2 linked regions of the Alligator mississippiensis genome follow. The protein of the gene in region 1 purifies or fractionates together with the protein of each later gene. This does not show direct contact. Links are inferred from orthologs where the notes say so. Each region holds a gene or a part of one and is shown on either strand. Other genes may lie near its edges. The genes, in order: CYTH2 and INAVA.

Region 1 (10,280 bases):
GGCTGCCAAGGGATTTCCTGCTCTTAGAGATTCCCTTCTGATAAGAGGCCACTATCAAGCCTTTCAGCCTGTTCCCCTCTCAGGAAGGACTTCCAGACCTTGAATCTTAGAACCACAGGGCAATGAGGCTGGAAGGGACCTCAGAAGTTTGTCTACTCCTACTCTGCTCAAGCCCCATCTCAGCCAAGCAGCTGACCTTCTACTCTGAGGTCTCCTACCAAGCTCTCTGCACAGCATACACTCCAGAACTAGCTGCAGTATTTCCACCACGGTCTCCCCAGTATTGGGGGAGTCCTATCTGCTCTCTTGACTCAATGCTCCCTGGCTGACAACTCCAAGAATCATGTCACTACCTTGAGCCTTGTCTACAAGCAGATGCAGTCCCACTAACACTAGCCTGCTGGAAGGGAGTCACTATAATCCCTGTGGGGTAGACAGAGTTCTGGTGCAAGCTGGTGGTTGTTATTTATCTGTCCTATAGCAGCCCTCAGGAGATCCAGTCTGGGATCAGGTTCCCATGCAGTGGTGATGTGTAGGTGGTGCACGTGCACCCCGACTGGCCGAGCTCCTTGCTTAGGTGACAGGCACGGGGGCAGGCGGGAGCACCGGTGCCCCCCCTGCGAGTGCCGGTCAGGGAGTGGGGGCACCAGGTGAAGTGCCACTGGCATTTCTGGGAGCGCTGCAGCCACTTCCCGGTCAGTGCGATTGGTCGTGGGGGGAGCACCCTCCCCCCCACTGGTTGGCGAGATTGGTTGTGGGGGACCCCACCTCCCGGTTGCTGAGTGGGGTGGGGGGTGGGAGGGGGGATGTGGCCTCCTTGACTCAGGTGGCACCAGTCGCCCATGTTCTCATGGTACCAGGTGCTATACTAATGATTTTGCCTTCCATTTCCTCCTTTCTGAAGCAGAGCTGGTGCACCAGGAAACCAGCCTTTCCCTCTCCTTGCTGCTGTTTCCTCCTGCAATGCAGTGTTGGGCTCAGCTGCCCTGCTAAGGGGTCTTCCTAAGGGTTTCTGTGCTGGTCCACAGCTCCTCCTTGCAGTTTTGTTCCCATCTGGTGCTTTCCCGTGGAAGTCTATGTAGAGGTCCCTGGAGTCCAGGTTCCACATACATCCCTGTGCCTCCTTCTCATCCTGGTGGGCTGCCAGCAGGCAATTTCTTGGCTATCTTTATCAGAGATGAAATCTTTTCCTCTGAAGCTTGGAACTTTTTGTGGGTGCTTGTTTTCAAAGTCATCTTTCTTCCTGTCTAATGTTTTGGTAGCTCTCCAGTTCTCACAGCCATATGCTGTCACCATGCTTATGCCCTAGCTGGAGTCCTGAATGTAGTTCTGGTGCTGCCTAGCTTTGGTCTCTATATGTCTTTCTGGTGAAGGGCTACCGCAGCTATCTTGAATCTTACTTCCTTTGTGAGACCCCTGTTGGCTGGGAGAGTGACATCCCAATAGGCAGGCCTCCACAATGGTTCTGCTTTCCAATGTCTTCTTAATAGGCTTCAAAGATATTTGTCTTCATCAAGATGGTCTCAAACCCCGCTTCACCTGTTTTCCTTTGGCAAGTTATTCATTTCTTCTGCGTGGTTTCTGAGAGGGGTCACTAGTGCAGCATCCTCACTAGGGCTGGAGTACTGTTGTACCCTTGATCAAACAACTGTACCATTGGGACACAACTGACACACTTTTGTGCACAAAGTGCCCTCTTGGTTGAGTTTGGTCCTGAAGAAGGGCACAATGTGCCCAAAAGCTTGTCTAACATCTCTCACAACTAGATAGCTGGACCAACAAGAGTCATCTCATCTAAGTCTTCTAGGCGTTTTCCACATAGGAACATAGGATTGCAGGGTACTCTTGGGTCACTGAGTCCCATTCCCTGCATTGTTGTAAATTATTACCCCAAGGAAGCAATCATTAACCAGGAGCCGGTGCTTGGTGAATGGTGGCAGTGGTTGAGGATCTTGCTATGACTCCAGGAGCATGGGCCGAGCCCTTCTTTGGATTTTTGCTAAAGGCCACTGCTTTGTTCCAAGTGCAAATGGAGACCTGGTCACTCAGGCTGGAGAGTCAAAATGCCCAGATGTGATACCAGCCATATTACAACCTTGGGTGCCACTGGCTATAGACATTGGTGCGCCTTAATCACATGGATAAAATCCTGGCTTGACCTGGCTGCTTCCTACTGATGCAGCTATTACCACTGCAAAGGCTGTGTCCTGATGACCAGGCAGCTCCCATCCATTTGGCTTCCGCCAGCACCCTGTCCTCTGCTGGGGAAATGCTTTACCTTGAATATTTCACTCCCTGAAAAAGGCATATTTGGGTGAAGCTATACCAGTCCTGGGTTTGCAGGGAAGTCAGTGGTGCAACATTTGTCTCACTTGTAGTAGAAAAATAACAAGAAAAAGGAAAGAGTCCAGAGGTCTGGTTTGACCCATTCAGTAAGTTCTAATTATTTTTTCAAATGGGGGCTGGCTCCAAAGTTCATTTAAACTGCATTCAAAACCCCACACACCACAAGTCCTAAATGAATTGCTTCCATTTCATGAATCAATTGACCAGTGAACCAAAAAATTATATCAATTATTTACACAGTTCAACCCCTGCCTGCTTCCCAGCATCTCTGTGATTCAGGATACCGGCTCTTGGCCCTATTACTTATGTTGGGGCAATCCATAATCTAGAACACGGCTGTGCAACTCCTGAGCAGCCAGGGGCCACACATCACATGGGTCCTCTGGGGTCCACCCCTTTGCAGTGTGAGGGTCCCTGCCCACCATGTGGGCAGCCTGGGCAGTGACATCCACACCCCTGGTACCATGACACCCACATGGAGCAGGAAGCAGAAGCAAGAGGAGGGCTGGTTGTGCTTGTGGGCCACCAGCTGGACAGCCCTGGTCTAGACTACACGAACTAAAGGAACTCAATAATATGGGTGTAATCATTGAGAACAGCTTGGACAGTGGCCCCTTCAGCACCCTCCTCTACCAAACAGCAGCAAGCCCGTTCCTTGCAAACCAAACCGCTGTCAGCAAAGGCACCTCTGGAGAGCATTTAAAGTAAAATGACTCAATGCAGAAGAGATACCAAAGCACAAGAGCAAAGTGATCAAGGCTGGTTTGGCTCAAGGAAGAGGAGAGGTAGGTCCCTATGCAGGGGTGCAGTGAGATGTTGGAATGACCTCCCAGTGACAGCCTGGGACTAAATTGGTCCGAGGCTAGAGCTTGTGGGACTAGGTGCCGTGGCCGTCTGTCACCACAGGAAGCTGGACTGGTGGATGCAGGTGGGCCCAGCCAGGCCCACGTCCCTGCTGGATTTCATCAAGGTCTTAGGACAAGCAGGCTCCCGTGGGAACACGGTAGGGAGGAGGAGATGCGTGGTTTATCTGCGAACTCATTCGTAAGTGCCCCCCTGCCCTCCTCCCAAAAACAGGGGCATCACTATGGCAACACAAGAGCATGCACCAGGCAGATGGCAGGAGCCACACCATCCTTGCTGAAGGGAGGGGAGCTGGGAAGTGAGCATGGGCAGGAGGCAGTGGCCATGTTGCTTGTGCTCCTGATGGGGCAGGAGGAGGGGCACCCCAGGGCAGGTGCTTGCCAGGGCGGGGCTGGGCCCCAATCCCAGTGCTACAGCAGCACCAGCCAGGGGAGGGTCCCTGCCCCAAGGAGTTCCCAAGCCAAGTACCTGATTGGCCTCCTGGGCCAACAGGCAGGGGCTGTGATGGGACTAAACATCAAGGGTGGGGCTAAGTGATGGGGCAGGACCTTCAGAAGGGCAAGGACCCAGCACCCCCATCATGGGGGGAGGGGGAAGTCAATGGAGAGGTTTGGTTGGGGGCAGAGAAAATGGTTCATCCCCAACCACCCAACACAGGGGAAAAAATGGTTCAATCCATGACCCTATGCAATTAGGAAGGAAATGGTTCAACCTGCAGGTTTTCCCTCCCTCAGCAGGGAATTGAATGGTTTAGCCCAACCCCCCATACATGCCAAGAAACACTCTTAGAAAAGGGCGGGGTGCAGTTCCACTCCCCTTCATATGGGAGAAAACGGTTTGCGCTGCCCCACACTAGGAATGGCACAGACCACCCTCTTCTCTCCCCTCTCCAACATAGGGAATGGTTCAGCTCACAGCCCCCTATAACAGAGAAGGGAATGGTTCATACCCCCGACCCCTCCACAGGTAAGAAAATTACTCAGTCCCACCCTCCCAGAGACCCCCCCCGCCCTCCCCCTTAAAGAACGAAATGGTTCAGCCCCCCCCCCCCCGAGCACAACAGGAATGGTCTCGCCCACCCCCTTCCAAGACTGAGGCGAACGGTCCGGCCCAAGCACCACCGGCCCCACCTCAAAGCAGGAAATGGCCTGGCCCGGCCCGGCCCCTCCTCACGGATGGTTCCGCCCACACCCCCATACAATGGTACGGCTCACCCCACGCGGGCGGGCAGGCCCAGGCCCCTACCATAGACGCCGTCCTCCATGGTAAACGCCCCAGCCCCGGCGGGAGCTTCTTTGTCGCTGCGTCTAGTCTCCTCGGCTCTCCCGTTGCAACGCCTGCTTCCTCCTCTCGTGTCCGCCCGGCCCAGCACTGCGGGGAATAGCCCGCCTCCTCCCCGAGCAATAGCCAATGGGAAAGCGCGATTCTTGCAATCCCCACCCCTTCCCACCGGCAGCAACCAATAGCTGGGGACGGATGGCAAATGAACGGGCAGTATTTAAGATTGATAGCTAGAGCAGCCAATGGGGGACAAGGGTTCGTACAAAACCTGCTCCACCGCGGAGATTGACAGAAAAATGAACCAATGAAGTATAGGAAAATTGTACACTAGTAGGCTCTGAAACTTGTTGACAGGAAGTCCGGTCATTTAGTGCTCGAGATTGCCAACAAGCCCGCCTCTGCTTGGATTAACTGTCCAAAGAGCCAACAGGAACGCTAAATAGCCAGGGGCTGCTCCTGGGCCGCCAGTCACTATGAATGATACACAAAGGAACCAATAAGAGATGAGCTTCGCTGGCCTCTGCCCTAACTGCGCCCAATGGACGGACTCGATAGGGAGCAGGCGGGGCTTGAGCCGTTGCTAAGGCACTAGAGGGGTCTGGGCCGTTGCTAGGGTCAATCCCTGGCCTCTTAGCAGTAATAAATCAGACTCATAAATAAAATACAACTATAAATAAATATATAACCCTGGGCTAAAGTGAGCTGGGAGGGCAAGGGGGGAGGGGTTGTCACTCCTCTGGCCCACCCCATGTACACCCTGACACACACCCCATGTACGCCCATATATTGCCATATACACCCCTACACACATCCCATGCATACCCCACATATACCCTATGTGCATCCCTGTATACAGCCAGCACACCCCCCTATGTACACTCCCATGTACAGCTCAAGTATGCCCCATATACCCCCTGCGTACACCCCTCCTGCCTTCCCCGATACCCCCACAGCCACCCTCGGCTGCCCACTCACTGATGCATGCATCACCATCCCACCAGCCCCAACCCCTCCACTGCACCCAGCTGCCCCCACCCCCTGCCCATCCAGCCCCCTCCATCACCCCTTCCCCTTTCCCAGGCCCTGTACCTGCCATCCCTCCCCACATCCAAGTATGTATCCCCAGCTCTCCTCATACTCCCAGCCCTCTCTCCCCAGTTTACCCCATCCCCCCTCCATTGAACAGCCCAGCAAAACTTTCCCCTTCCCAGGCCCTCAGCCTCCATCCCCACACCCCACCCCCACGCCCTTTTCATCCCCCTCCCACCCACAGCCCCATTAACCCACCAATGCACTCCCACCCTCTCCTCAACCTCCCCTACACTCCCTCCACACCCCCAACTAAGAGATGCTGGGGATCAGGTCATTTTTGGAGCACTGCTGTCTTTCCCAGTGGCAGTCACCAGGGGGCGCTTGAAACTAGCTGCAGGGGGGTGATCGCGCAGAGGGGGACCGAAATTGGCAGGGTTCTGGCCAGGGCCCTGCCTAACTTTCTTGATGGGGACATGGGGGTGAACTGCATCCCCTAGGCTTTGTAGATCCCAGTGGCCACCCTCCGGGGCTAGGCTGATGCGGTGTGTACCTGGTGTGGGGGGAGGAACCAGGGTCCTGGGAGTGCTGTGGGGCAGGAGGGAGGGGCACTGGCAGTACCAGGGGGAGGTCAAGGGGTGGTAGGGGCTGGGGGTCGGGAGGCAAGGGCACTGTTTGCAGTGGATCCTCGTCTGCACTTCCTGCCTTTCTGGTTGTCGTGCCGAGCCTCTTGTCACTGGTGATGAGTTGGAAGGAGCCCAGTGGGGAAACCCAGAGGAGGGATTAGCAGGTGGGGAGTACGAGCTGGAAGCCAGGGCTGGGTGCACAGCAGTGGATGCACACCCTGCAGCTCACAGCTGGCTGCCTGCCAGCATGGGGGTCTCTCCCAAGGTTGCTGACTCCGGTGTGGATTCTCCCCACCTTACTAGATCTTACTTAAACCTTGCTCCTCCTGCATCAGGCACTATCTGGGAGCAGCTTCCCAGGAGCAGGAAGCCCAAAGGCTCCCTTGCTCCAGACATCTGCTAAGCTGAATTACCCATCTCCTGACAGTGTTGACCCAGGCTGAGCTGTCCGGATCCATCCCCAGAGGGGGAGGGATGTGGAGGGCCTGATTCTGATCTCAGCCACCCCCAAGGACCAAGCTGGAGTCACCCCCTAACTGCAGTGAGATCAAGGCCAGATCCTGATGTCAGCTCTGCTGGGCCAGTTTGAAATCAATTTGAAGTCACACCCTGATGGCAGCAGGGTCAGGGCTGAATCCTGATCTCCCCCTGGAAGCCACCTCTTAGCGCTGGATAGTTCCTGTCAGAGAGCACCACTCTCACCCCCTCCCTGCCAACCCGATAGGCTAAGAATAGGGCTCTTGAGGGGTTATTTTGGGCGTAAGAGCATGTTCCTCTCTGGGTTTATCAGCCGGCCAGGGTGTCAGCTGAGACACCTGTGACATGGCCTCACCTTGAGAGTGTCAGGGTCTGGAGTTGGTGCTGAGAGCAGAGCGCAGCCCTCTCTGACCCGCTGTGCCCCATGGGCTGGGACAATGCAGGGGCCAGTAGGGTGGGGACCATGGGGCAGGGGCTGGGCTGGGCCTGGGGGCATGGGGGGAGCAAGTTAATAGGCCCCATTTCCCCTGCTGGGGCAGCCGCTAAGCAGCTGGGATTAGCGACTGAAACTGTGTCAGATTAATGTGAGCTCCCAGCTGGGCTCCAAGCTGTCCCTCCCTGCTCTGACCTTCACACACACCCCAGCAGCTTGGCCTGGCCCAGCCAGCGTGGTCTTTCAGTGAGCGCCCACAGGCCAGCTTGGCCCCAGCACCCCAAAGCCAGCCCACAGATGTGCCACAGCCCCCAACATCATCACCCTGCAGCCCCACATGCCTCAGGCACCTCTGCCCTATCCTGCAGCCCCACAGCTGCCCACAGTTCAGCACCTCCACACAGACACGTCACCACCCGTCATCCCCACAGCTCCCGACAACCCGTGCAAATACCTTGTAGCCTGCTGACCCCACATCCCCACTAGCCACCCTAACACCCTGTCCCACACCTTGCTCCAGCCCGCCAGCCCCACAAAGGTGCCCCAGGCACCCCACAACTCATTGGGCCCACACAGCCTCCAAGCCCTACACAGCTCATGGTCTGTCCCATGCAGATAGTCAACCATTCCCACAGCCTTCTACCCACTTCAGCCACCCCCTCACAGCCCTCTCCAGTACCAGGCCACACAGAGTGTCCATGCATTCATTCATCCCTCCCTCCCCACACATGCCTCTAGCTATCTGTCCAGGTCTCCATCTAGCAAATCCCTTGATGTAAACATGCTTCAGAATCGGCCCCTCCTGTGTGTTTTGGGATCTCAGGCCCAGACCAGAAATCACCCAAACATGCCCTGCCAATGATTGGGACAGGTGATGCCAGGGCTGGGTGTGAGCCAGGGCCCCCTGGAGTTGGGGTTTCCCAGTGTGGGAAGGCATCCAGCCAATGGAGTGGGTGAGGGGTTGGCATGGAGGGAATGAGGCCCATACACCTCATTTGGCAAGAATAATACAGACCAGAATTCTCCAAATTCTCTCTTTATTTCTGTATTTATCTGCATCACTTGGGTGATCTGGGGATGTGGGGGGCGGAGGGGGAGATCTGCCCTGACTCCCCCAGGCCCCTGCCTCTCTGTGCTACTGCACTATGGGGCTATTGACACACAGCTGGGTGGCTGCAGGCCCAGCCAGCAGGGGGCAGTGGTGCTATGTGGCTTTTCTTTAATGGCTTGGGCCCTCTCTGGACCCCAAGGCCCCCAACAACCACATCCCCCAGGAACAGACCCCTAAGCCTTGCCAGTTCCCTGGGGATCCTCAGTCATCCTAAGTGGCAGGGGAGCAGCTGGATCCAACATGGCTACTAAAGTGGCATTGTGGCTAGCAGAATGGGAGGGGGGGGAGGGAAGGGGGGGAGCTTTCAGGGGGTGCCACCCCCAGTTAACAGCATCTTTTCCCCCATTAAAAGCCAGAGCAAGACGGGGATGGGGCTGCTGGGGGAGCGGGACAGCTCAGCAGTGTCCTCAAAGGAGGTAGCAGCAATGAGCCCCAGTTACATACAGGGGGCCCCAACCCCTGACAATCCCAGGAGTGGGTGTAGAGGGGACTGGGTCTGTACAGGCTGGGCTCTGGGGCAGGGGCTGGATATTGCCCATGGGCAGGTGAGAGATGGGGCGGGGCGGGGCTGTCCCATTAGCATTAGGTTCCCCCCGTCTTCTTCGGGGGTGAAGGAGAGGAGAGACAGGCTTGGGCTCCCCCTGGTGCTCCCCTCTTGACTTCCCAGGGGAGACAGGCTGGGGGGTTCCCCTTGCCCAGAGTTCAGGTGTGGGAACCCTAGGGACCCCTTTGCCCTGCTCTCCTCAGCCACTGCTGCGTTCCTCCTCCCCCTTCTCCTCCTCCTCCTCCTCCACAGCCCCACAGTCTGATGCCACTGACCCATCATGTCCCACCGGGCATCTCCGTGGCCTCCAGGCCATTGCTTGCTCTCCCCTCCTTGCCCTTGTCACTAGCCAGGCCCCTTCCACTGCCACCACCCCCTGGCTGCTGCTCCTCCTCCTCCTCCCCCTCCTCCTCACGGCAGGCACTCAGTGCCACTTCGTTCTCGTAGCAGAAGGAGGCGCGGGTGGCCGTGGGTGGCACATGGAACTTGCGCTGCCCCAGCTCCTTGGCACTGCACTGGGGTGTGCCAGGCACCTCGTAGGTGCGGTGAAAGTGCCGGTAGTCCACCTCGTAGCGGCCACGACGTTCGAAGAGGACGGGCTCGAAACGGTGGCCCCAGCGCAGCTCCCCTGGCAAGTAGGAGCTGCGGCACTGCGTGGTCATGGCTGTGGCTTCTACCATGCCCTCCAAGATGACCACTAGCTCGAAGTTGGCGGCTGCCAGCTCGGATGGGCCGTACTCATAGAAGGGGCTGTCGCTGTCAATCTCATGGACGATGGTGACTGGTGACACCAGGAAGATGCGGTCGGTGCCATTGTCGAAACCCACGTCCACATCCTGGTGGTCCAGGGGAATGTATTCACCCTCCGGGGTCACGCGGGGCTGCAGGAAGGGCAGGGGGAGCATGAGTCAGTGGGATGAGGCAACCAGAGTCAAGTCCCACCCCTGCCACACATTTCATATACTATGCAATTCGCTGGTGAATCGCGCAATAAATTCAGACTGGCCACATGTGCAAAATAATTTATCCTGTTATAACAATGATCCTCCAGCTATAAAAAAAAAGCTGACCAGCTACAAAGTTAGTGCTTGAAAATGTGTAACAACTTTATAGCTGGTGTCTATCCAACATTAATATGAACGTGTAGCAGGGCTCTTAGTGTCCCCTGCCTAACCATGCTGGCACCCACCAGTGGCCGGGTGGGCAGCATTTGTGTCCTCAGCTCAGCCCCCCTCATGTGCACGTTCACACCCATAGGTTCCATGTTACACCCATGCACCACGCACACCCCTCCCTCCCTTGCTACTGATGTGTCCATGCCCCTAATAGACACACACATGACCTTGGCTGCTATATCTGTGCTTCACAGACACACACACTCATGGTCACTGGATCCATGCCACTTCTATATCAGCCTCCCTGCATCTGCTGTAGCTGTTTCCCCAACAGCCACAGCCACACACACACTGGATTCATGTTCCTCTCTTCACACCCAAACCCATACAATAGTCCCTGTTGCTGGATCTGTGCGACATACCCACCCACACAAAACTACTGGATCTGTGCCTA
Region 2 (10,396 bases), on another chromosome or scaffold:
CAGTAAGAAATATTGTTGGATGGAGACAATCCTTCAGCAGAGACGGGATCTTTGGTCATATAAATACGGCTTTTTATTTGAGAAGGTATATGCTAATAGTACAGCCAAAGGTCAGAGCAGAGCCCTGGGAGCCAGGGTTCCTCCTCTTGACACCAATAAACTTGGTGACCTCAGGCAGGTGGGGTATAATGTAGACCGCCTCTTTATGATGCACCCTGGATAACACTAAATAGTCTACACCTCAATGACGCAGAACTGCCCTTTGGACCCCATGGCTAATGACGGCAAAGACAAATGAACGTCAACAGATCGTCGCACAGCTTTCAGACCCGTAACGTCAGGACCTCACTGTGCATCTGCCAACTCCATATTGAGGGGACTCCTGAAGCAATCAGCTGGCTGCAAAATCTGGACATATAATTGTGAATGTGTTTTTCCTTGCTTTGTGATCCTTATTGTATCATCATACGCCAACGGCCCCCCCAAGCAGGTCATAGCCTTTTCCAAGTCCATTTCCAAGCCTGTAAAATAGGGACACTAATACTGATCTAGATGAATGAAGTGCTTTGAGATATTCTGATGACAAATAGACTGCTGATGTGCGGCAGAAATGTCCTCGGACAAAAGATTAAGCTGCCACACCCAACCCACCCTTTGTCAGCAAACAAATGCTCCAGTACCTTAACAGTCCCTGAACAGTTCAACTGTACCAGTTTCCTCAGTGTGAATGCAGTTTTCTCAAGCTTATACTGATCCAATTTACTCCCATGTAGCCCTCCCCATTTATACTCTGTACTGGATAAGGATTTGCAGTGGAAAATCTACGGCTGCCCCAGTATCTCTGCTCCTTAGCCAGACCATCCCTGCCAGCTCCCCTTCCTCTGTCAGAGGTGTAGCAGAGTGCCCAGCCCCTGGGCAACAGGGGATGGATCAAAGCAGGGCTCTTGCCCAAGAGAAGGACTTCAATGGCAGAGTCTTGTCCAGCTGAAGGATGAAGATATGAAAGAAGTCACTTGCTGGACCCAAGAACTGAGTGCCAGCATCCACATGTATTTATTTATTTGATCTGCATCCTGTCCTATCCAAAAGGCCCAGAGCAGCTGACAATATAAACACACAAATAACCTTTGGATAGGATTCCCTTAAGAGCATCCTGAAACTTGAGAACTCAAACTCCCCTCCTCCCTCCCCAACCACCTCTTCCCTGCCCAAACCCCTTTACAAGCAAAACAACCTTCCAGCCAATCTAAACCATGCCTCCCAACCACCATTTATAGCCAAATACAAGAAATTTCTTCCTACTTCCCCCACCCAATGCCCTCCCACCTTCCCCCAATGTCCCTTCCAAGCCTATGCCCCCTTTCCTATAGGTCTGTGCCTGTCAACCCCCAAAAAACACCCTCAGACCACACATAAGCATCCCAAGTTTCAACATTAGCACACGCCGTACCCTGAGAAATTTCCCATGCACACCAAACGCACCCACTATCCCTGAGTAATCTCCCCATCTGAACACTACTACATTGTGGGTTTACGGGCATAGTGGTGAGAGCCAGGGTGTTGGGGGAGCACACTGTAGGCATGTTATTAGGGTGAGGGTTAAGTTGTCTGTAGCAATCACTTCGTGGGTATGTTGGCAGGTGGTAAGGATTGAAGTGTATGTTTGAGTAACTCTCTGGATACACCAGTGCAGGATTAAGGGTCAGGAGTATAGGTGAGGTCAATTCTTAACTGTGTTCAGAGAAGGCTGAAAATGAAGGTTTAATGGGAAACATACCGGGTCATCTTGGTAGAATCAGATGAGAACCATTAAGCTCCAGTGGAAATGAAAGCTGGTCCTGTGGCTGAGATATGAGGATGGGATTCAGGAGAGCACCCCATGCCCTGTCTTCAGCCACAGCTAATCCTTGAGGCTTCAAAGAATGCTAAACACAAAACGAGCAAGCAGAATACATCTTGCCAACTGTGCAACAGGGGGAAAAAGTCCAAATGACTGCAGGTAACCAGCTGAAGCCCTCAAGCATGAGAATTGATTATTAGAGTCATTGTCTTAATTCAGACAAAGCACATTAACAACCCTTCTGTTCTCTCTGTAGCCTATGGAAGAAAAGGACAAACACAGGAACAGAGATTCACATCCACCGGGGCCAGAAGGGACCAGCCTGATCCCCCGGCATCCAAACACACACAGGTCACAGATTTTTTTCCCAGAATTTGGATCAAAGCTTGTCTTTTAGAAAGACACCTAATCTCATTTTAAGACTCTAAGCAATGATGAGTCCACCACTTCCCCTAGAAAGCAGTTGCAATGTTTAAACACCCTCACTGCTAGGAAAGTGCATCTTATTTCAAAGTTGGGTTTGCCCAAGTTCAGCTTCCAGTCACTGGATCAGGTTACCCTTTGCAAAGCCCCCAGTATCAGATAACTTCCACTACACACAGTGATCAAGTAAGTCATCTCTCAATCTTTTGTCTGGTAAGATGCATCAAGTGAGTGCCTTAAAGCTCATATCACAGGGCTTGCATTCCAGCCTCTGAATCATTTTTGCCCTTTCCCTTTGAAATCTTTCCAGTAATTCCACATCCTTCTCCAAATGTGGATACCAGCACTGGACGCACTGCATGAGTCATTGCCTCGCCATTGCTGTGTCCAGAGGCAAGATCACTTTTCTGTGTCTATTTGATATTCTCCGTTTATGCATCCAGTGATTGCATTAACCATTTTAATTGCAGCATGGGCTGAGAACTCACATGCAGGCAATTATCTACTATGATTCCTAAGTCCTTCTCTGTGCCATTACTTTCTAAGACAGAGCCACCCAACCTGTAGGTCACATCTGTCCGACTGGTAGCCTGTGGATCACATCCAGCCCATGAGTGGCTAACTCATGGCTCCCAGTCCAGGTGCTTCTCCCTTCATTTCTTCTACTGCTGCTGCCAGGGTCCCTGGGCTCCCCCTCCCTTCTCCAGCTTCCATTTCCTGCCTCCACCCCAGGAGGAGGAACAGAGCAGTGCTAGCCCGAGGGGCTCAGGGAACCTGCAGCTCAGGAGGTGCCTTTGCACTGCTCTGTTTGGAACCAGTGGCTCAGGCTAACGCTAGGCTCATCTCATTAAGCCACACATCCTCAAGCACGTGCTCTTGTTTCTGGGGTCCAGCTGCAAAAGAAGGTCTAGACAGTGACTTTCCTGTGGTGTGGTAATTAGAGCACTGTGCTGGGAAGTCAGAGATGATGAAACCTCCTTTGGATGAGTAGGTCTAGAACCCAGGTGAGTGCCTCCAGCAGTGGGCTAAAGCATGGGGCCCCCCTCCCTCCAGCACCTAACACCGGTTGTTTTACCCAGCAAAAGTTTGGGAACTTACACTCATTCATGAGCGACTGCATAGATCCACCTACCTGCCTAGCCAGCATATAGCTTACTGAGCATGCTTAATAGCCACGTGCATGTGGAGTAGTTATAAATTGTGTGCAAATGTCCAAAATGGCATTTACAAATGTGGGTAAGTACCATTGGGATATGTAAAGTGAAATAGGATTTTGCCCTTAATTTCTCTTTGACCCTATTTTCCACCTGTTGTACACGGCTAGTGATATTTCCTTTCTCCACCCCCACTCTTGTCTTCTTGGAGCTTGAGCTCTTTGTGTTAGGGACTGTCTATTGTTGTGTGGATGTTTAGTGCCTAGTGCAGTGAGGCCTTGATCTCAGTTTTAATACCTAGATCTCTGGCTATAGCTTCAGTCCTCTTCACTCCCAAAATTTCAGAGTCCCAACACAGATTCCAAAATTCACACTTGGACTTTTTTTTGTCCACTCACTGACTCAGATTTGGGTCTCAGTCACATTGGTGTGGATTCAGAGTTGCTACTGAAAACCATAGAGTTTACTCCCTATTGACTTCAATGGGAATGACCAGAATGTACCTTCCTGGAATTTGAAACTCAAATCAAAATATTGCAGGCCTGGCCCATCCTTATGATTAGTAATTCTTTGCTTGTAAGAACAGGGAGGGACTAATTTTGTGTTGCTTTCTTGTTCCGGGCCTATTACAATAAGGTCTCCATCCTGTTCAGCGCTTTCAAATGCTACTGCAGTCACGATCCTCCACAGGAGTAAATTTGCATAGCTCCACTAACACCAGCCACAACAAATTGATTTACACCAGCTTGGGTCCTGGCCCTGGGATTCTTAAAACATGTGATTCTTGTTTTGTGGGTTAACATGTAACAAAGAAGTTATACAAGTCCATTGAGAAGAAATAACCAGGTTCAGAGCCTTTCCGATTCTCAGGCAGAGACAGCTGAGTAATGCTTCACTTCATTCCTGCACTGAATTAAAAAGCCAGAGCTGAAAGACTGAAATTAGACTGGCACCATTCATAACTCCTCCAATCCTTGCTCTCTTACAATGTGAGCAAAGGACAAGCACGTTGGCTTGAACTAATAATTTCCCAGGAGTCCCGTGCGCCAGCACAGAACAAACTATTCACCTTATGTAAGTGATCTTACAGGAATAAAATTAAAAAATCCTCTTTCTGATTGGATGTCTTCTTGCAAGTAGCCAATATAAAATTTCCAGCCATCTGGCCTGAATTCATAAAGTGTAAATTGGAGTAGCCCCATTCAAACTAGTGAACTTTGATTCATTTCCACCAGCTGAGAATCTGGCCCATTGTCTTTGTCTCATCTGCCTCTCCCTCCTTTTTTCAGCCCTGGTGCTAGATGAACACAATTTCAAAATTATATTTTACAAAGCAACAAACATTTCCACAAATCTGAGGAGGGAAACCATCAGGAGAAAACTACTACCTAAAACCAACAAACAAACAACTGTTTTTGGCGACTGCAAATTTCTGCTGAGTGCAACATGTTCAAACAGCAACATCTTTAATTATAGGGGATCACCCTGCACACATGTCTCCTGTTCAAATTGCTAGGATACTTTTAGGCAGATCAGATTTCACAGAGTTCAAGTTTGTTTTCACTTACCTGCTAAAAAGCAACTAGTCCTGTAGCTGTTTCCTTCCTTTTTTTTTTTTTAATCACTCCCAAGGAATTTCATTTACACTGCTTCCATCACCCAGACTGCTGCTTTTGCAAAGCTCCCCCCCTTATTTAATTTAACTAGGCATTAGCTACATCCCAAAGGTTGAAGATCTAAAGACATCTGTCCCTGGGGCATACCAATCCCTTAGGAAAAGAGGGGGAGATGCTGGTTAGTATGCTTTAAAACTTGTTCAAGCCTCACTAAAGTAGCCCTGAGAAGGAGGAGGCATGCCAGGGTGGAGTATCATGCCTTGGATTTTTGTTGTTACTCTGAACACTGTATTGTTTTTTTAGCAGAGAAGAGAATAATGATCCTGCTCCTGGTCCCCATTTCCTGCTCAGATCCCACCAGCCCTAGTCTTAGGAAAGGGTAATTCACTGAGTCTTGGAAGTACTTCTTCCAAGCAGCACAATGCCTCCCCTGTGGTTGCTTTTCTTCTGAGAGACCCAGGGTGAAAGTCTGGAAAGAAAGGAATCAGAGAGTTTTTTTCAGATCAGCCCACAAGGAAAGTGTGCGAGGCAGCTGGCTATTAATGTTCTATTAGTGATGGATTAGCTGGAATCTGCCAGCTAGTCAGCGCACACAATGGCAAATTAATGAGTTATTTGGAAAGCCAGCTTAACTGTGTGCTACTTAGTAACTGAGAAAATTCAATACACAGGGAGCTGGGTTAAAACCCGAACTTAACAGAAACACGAGTGGAAGGGGCTGCCTCTGTCACTGCATCTAGTCCCCTGTATTTCTAAATTACCACTTTGAGAGGTGGTGCAAACACCTACTCTGGACACCTTTATGAAACATTTGGACTTTTATCTTGCTGAGATGTTTTCCCCTAGTTGACTTCCTGCTTCTTGGGCAGGGGGCTGGACCCGATAATCTTACAAGGTCCCTTCCAGCCCTAATGTCTATGAAGACTCTCCTATGAAAGGGACTCTGCTCCCTACACCGCAGAGGACAGCAAACCCCCAGTGCCTGGGCCAGTCGGTCTGGGAGCAAAAACCCTTCCTACCCCAGTGCCGGGAATCAGTGTGATTCTGAGGATGTGGACACACATTGCAATCGAATCCTTCCGGGGGGAATTCATTCACAATGGTGTGAACTGTTGTGGCTTGCACACCAGGGTGGGAGTGAGCACCCAGCCCAGCATGCCTTGCAGTGGACAAATGCTTTGGGAGTCCCAGGTGTGGCTGAGGGCCTTATCCCTTTCCTGCTTTCATTTGCTTCCTGAATGTAAGCTTAGTAATCTTTTATAGTATACCCCCCCACCATCTAGCATAAAACTTTCCATCACACACCTTAAACCACATTAAGAAACCACGTACCTGTTACAATAAACGCATCCACTCCTCAGCATCCCCGCGCAGCCACCCACTGGCCTTCCCTAACCCAATTGCTGTCCTTTAGTTTAGTCGAAGCCCAGATTTGGGGTTTACATTCTCAGTTCATTCCCTAGCCTTGTCACTTGTCAAAGCTCAATAAACTTCAATAGCCTGTAGGCTGCAGTCATTTGCAATGTGCTCACCTGACTTGGAGACAGGAGGGGAGGGCTTGGACTCTCGCTTTTTGGTTGTGGGGAGGGGGGGCAGGTACTGCCTGGGACCGGGCAGGTGGGAGGCATGAGGTTGGGCTGAAGTCAAGTAGGGAATCAGGGCAGAGCTGGCTGTTGGAAAAACAACTTTTATTGAGCAAAGAATATGCAAGGGAGCTCATTGATTAAAAAAAATAATTGCCAGCAAAAGGGGGCAGTAGGACTCTGGCTACATACTTTATTTAGTTTATTAGTATATCTTAGTAGGAAGTTACAGAGTTGAAGAGGTGGAAAGAGATCCAGAAGACCCAGGGAAGGGTAGTTGCATAGTACTGGGTGGGTGGGTACGTGGAGGATGCAACTAAGTTATGCAGAGAGAACGTAGCCTACTTAGGTAGGGGATGAGTTAGGGTGAGGGATAAGGGAGGTAAAAGCATGATGCTTACCGAGGGAATAAGATACAAAGGCCCTGTGCAAGGAAGCTGCATTATTGTAGAGTTGTGGGCTCTGAGGGATACATATGCAGGTACAAACAACAGCACGTGGAGTATAATTGCAGAGGTGATGGACAGTCCAGGTGGGAAGCAGTTTTAGCTCATGATCTGTTGGTGGGGGGAGGAAGGGGGGGAAAAAAAAATCAGACTGCTTCCTCCAAGTTGCTTCCAGCCAGTAGTTTGCTGGTGTCCACATACTGGCACTCACTCGCAATGCACTCCATGTTGATGTCCCTGGAACATCTGATGGTGTCAGACACCATGAGCTGTCTCATCAGCTTGGCACACAAGATGCTTTTGTTGCCGGGGGTCCCATGCTCCAAGCACCCCAACAATCAGTGCCTGCACCATCACTTTGCAGCCCCGTACTCACAGCACCTGCCAGCAGCTTGTACTGTCAAATTCCACTTGCAGGCTTCGACAAAGGCTTGCTGCTGGTTCTCCAATGGGATAGCAACATCAGCCATCACGATGCATTTGTTCTCCTCCTCAGCTGCAAGGATGTCTGGGCAACAGCTGGCTCTCAGCCCAGGATGGTGCAGTTGATGGGACTACACTTGATCTTAGCCAAAAGGCTGAGAAGCGATACCAGAGCAGTCGGTTGCAGTAGTGTGTGGGAGAGGCGAGAAGTGATGCAGTTTGGGATTCCTGGAAGACTGGCCAGGTTAGTGTCATAGAAAGGTGAGTCCACACACAACCACTGAATCAGTTCACAGTGCACCAGTTCAAAATAGTACTTGATTTTCCAGGCACCCTTTTGAACTGCTCCAGGTAGATTTAAACACAACACAGTTTAATGCATGTCTTTTCTATCTGTTCACTTCTGTTTTAATTGTCATGCATGTCCCCAACTAGCATCTAGTAAAAGCCAGTCAAAGCTCTGGAGTTACCATGTTTTTCTCACTGCAGAGCTCAACCTGGGGACCTCAGTTACATACTTCCACATCACACACCCCGATTTGTGTGCCCGAACTCGCCATCTTGTTCCACAAGCTGATCCAGTTCTGCAAATTTGATGAGGATGCTTCAAGCCCCAGTGCTAAGGTCACTTACAAACATTTAAATGGGATGGATGGAATTCTGTTTGTCACTGTGCACCTACATGGCCATTTCCTAGCTGCATTTTTTTGGCCTGTTACTGCGTATAACAGACATGCATGCATCAATGTGTAGACTGAGTAGGCCATGTACACACACTAGGTATGTTATCATGCAATGAAGTTTGGGAAAGGAGAAAACCCATTCCAAGTTTTAGCCCCAAGAGCTGAACAGCTAAAGCACTTACCTAGGACGCCAAAGACCTGGGTTTCTGGTCCCCATCACCTAACAAGTCAAGTCACAGTGATGCAAGTTAAAATTCAGTCACCAAAGAAGGGTTTTAAGCCTATATCACCAATTTCTCCACATAGTGCTTTAACCACCACACCATAGATTAGGTCTTTTCCACTCTTCTCTCCAGCACACCTTTTGAGGATGAGCCACCACCCCTTGCACATAATAGCCATCAACTGGAATGGTTGGGGAGCTGTGCAGGGGCTCCACATCCTCCTCTGTAGGCTGCCCCACAGAGGCCTGGGGCTCTGTATGATGTGTATGTGGTCTGGCATGTCACAGACACAACCTGGATGCATGGGATTGGAGCAAGATGCTACGAGCGTCACAAACTAGGACTCCAGAAACCGAGAATCAAAGCAGAGGACATGGGCTAGGATTCAGGCAGGAATGAGGCAGGGGATTCAGGCTGGGCAAGGACTCAGGCGGGAGTCAAGCCGAGAAAACAGGTAGCCAAGGATCATGCAACAGATGAGGGCACTCGGGCAGCCTGCAGCCAGTCCCATCCAGACTATAAGGGCAGCTTGGGCTTGTCTGGGCAGCAAGTAGAAAGAAAGACATGGTGCTAAGAGCACTGTGATGGGAAGGGGGAGAGGGGTTAGGGTGTGGGGGCAGGCAGGGGAGTCAGAGAAATGCATCTCAAGCCCTCAGGGCAAGGAGCAGCATAGATCCTGAGCATTCTGCTTCCTGGGGAAGTGTCCTAACCACTCAGTTCTTGAAGTCAAAACAGGTGATGATCCCCATCTTTTTTCCTCACCTGGACTTATTCTCAGGTACAGTGCCTAGCCTACTGCACACGCATGCATCCATAGCGCAGGGCTGATAGAATTACTACCTATGCACAAGTGCTGAAAATAGCAGTTATGTTGTTAGACGCTCACCCTTTAGGCACACCAAGGGCAATAGGGCCTACTGAGCAGGCTCCCAAGGCTAATCCCTAGAGGAACATCACTAGTAACTGCCCTCTAGTCAGACAACTCCTCCTTTAATATACCTTGCTTTAGTCTAGCTCATGGATTTGTAGCGCTGATTCTCAGCCCTTCCAGTTTGGAAAGTGATTTTCCATGAGGCACAATATCAAAAGCTTTTTCACTGCAGTCAGCTGGACTTAGCATATAAGCCCAGGTCCTTAAGTAGGGTTCTGGGTACTTGATGCCTCATCTTGCAGCAGTTCAGCTTTGGTGTAGCACAGTCTTGCTCCAACCCTGGACTTCAGTACCTCATCTTCTGCCTCATCCGCTGTATTTCTTGATTCCCTTTATCCAGCTAAGTTAGTTCACTGCATTATCCTTAACGAAGCCTATTATCTAATAATATAATATAATATTATGTCCAACTAGCATCATTATTCTAAATCTATGTTACATTTTATCCCATTTTCTACTCCCTGCCATATCTTTAACTATAATTTCACAAGCATTTAGTCTGAGTTCTCCCCCCACCCTTCCCCACCTTTAAGTGGGGCCTACATTTGCTATTTTTCAGTCATAGGGCACTATCCCTGCATCTACAGATTCTGAGTTTCCATGCTAGATAAGCCAGTCTTTTGTATATAGTTTTTTCCCCCCCAGTGTTTTAGGAGAAGAATAACCCAGACCCCCTGAAGCATAGAATTCAGCTCCACCTTTTTAGGTAAGCAACTTAGCCATTCAGTCTTTGCTGCCAAGTTATGGGAGGACCAGTAGGTCTTTTTTCCCCTTCCAGGACTTAGTCAGGTACACACACAGCCAGTGCATCATCTGCATTTTCAATGTACACGCACAGCCGGTACATCATCTTCTGCATATTCAGTGTGCACACACAGCCAGTACATCATCTTCTGCATATTCGGTGTACACATGCATTCTTACACATTGTAAGGATGGGCCACACCAAACAAGTCTTATGAAACCTGGAGTTAGCCAGCCAAGTACCTGAACCTGCAGGGAATCCAGATGCAGTTGCATCTGTACCAAAGGGGTAAAAACCAGGCAGAGTCCCATTTCTAATCCTAAACAAT

What was found.
Region 2: the proteins of CYTH2 (region 1) and INAVA purify together in Homo sapiens (co-immunoprecipitation; 3 studies listed by BioGRID and IntAct, counting the BioPlex papers as one, with this or other methods). This does not show direct contact. The link is inferred for Alligator mississippiensis from reciprocal best matches to the Homo sapiens genes CYTH2 and INAVA.

What each region holds. Positions count from the first base shown.
Region 1 is NC_081828.1:38,810,735-38,821,014, forward strand, and holds the start of CYTH2 (cytohesin-2), read right to left. Parts: upstream 4,603-10,280; 5' UTR 4,475-4,602; coding exon 4,456-4,474; intron 1-4,455. Other genes in the region: KCNJ14 (ATP-sensitive inward rectifier potassium channel 14), read right to left, coding at 8,990-9,592. UniProt on the Homo sapiens protein: Acts as a guanine-nucleotide exchange factor (GEF). Promotes guanine-nucleotide exchange on ARF1, ARF3 and ARF6. Activates ARF factors through replacement of GDP with GTP.
Region 2 is NC_081837.1:33,170,042-33,180,437, forward strand, and holds the start of INAVA (innate immunity activator protein), read right to left. Parts: upstream 5,165-10,396; 5' UTR 4,986-5,164; intron 1-4,985. UniProt on the Homo sapiens protein: Expressed in peripheral macrophages and intestinal myeloid-derived cells, is required for optimal PRR (pattern recognition receptor)-induced signaling, cytokine secretion, and bacterial clearance.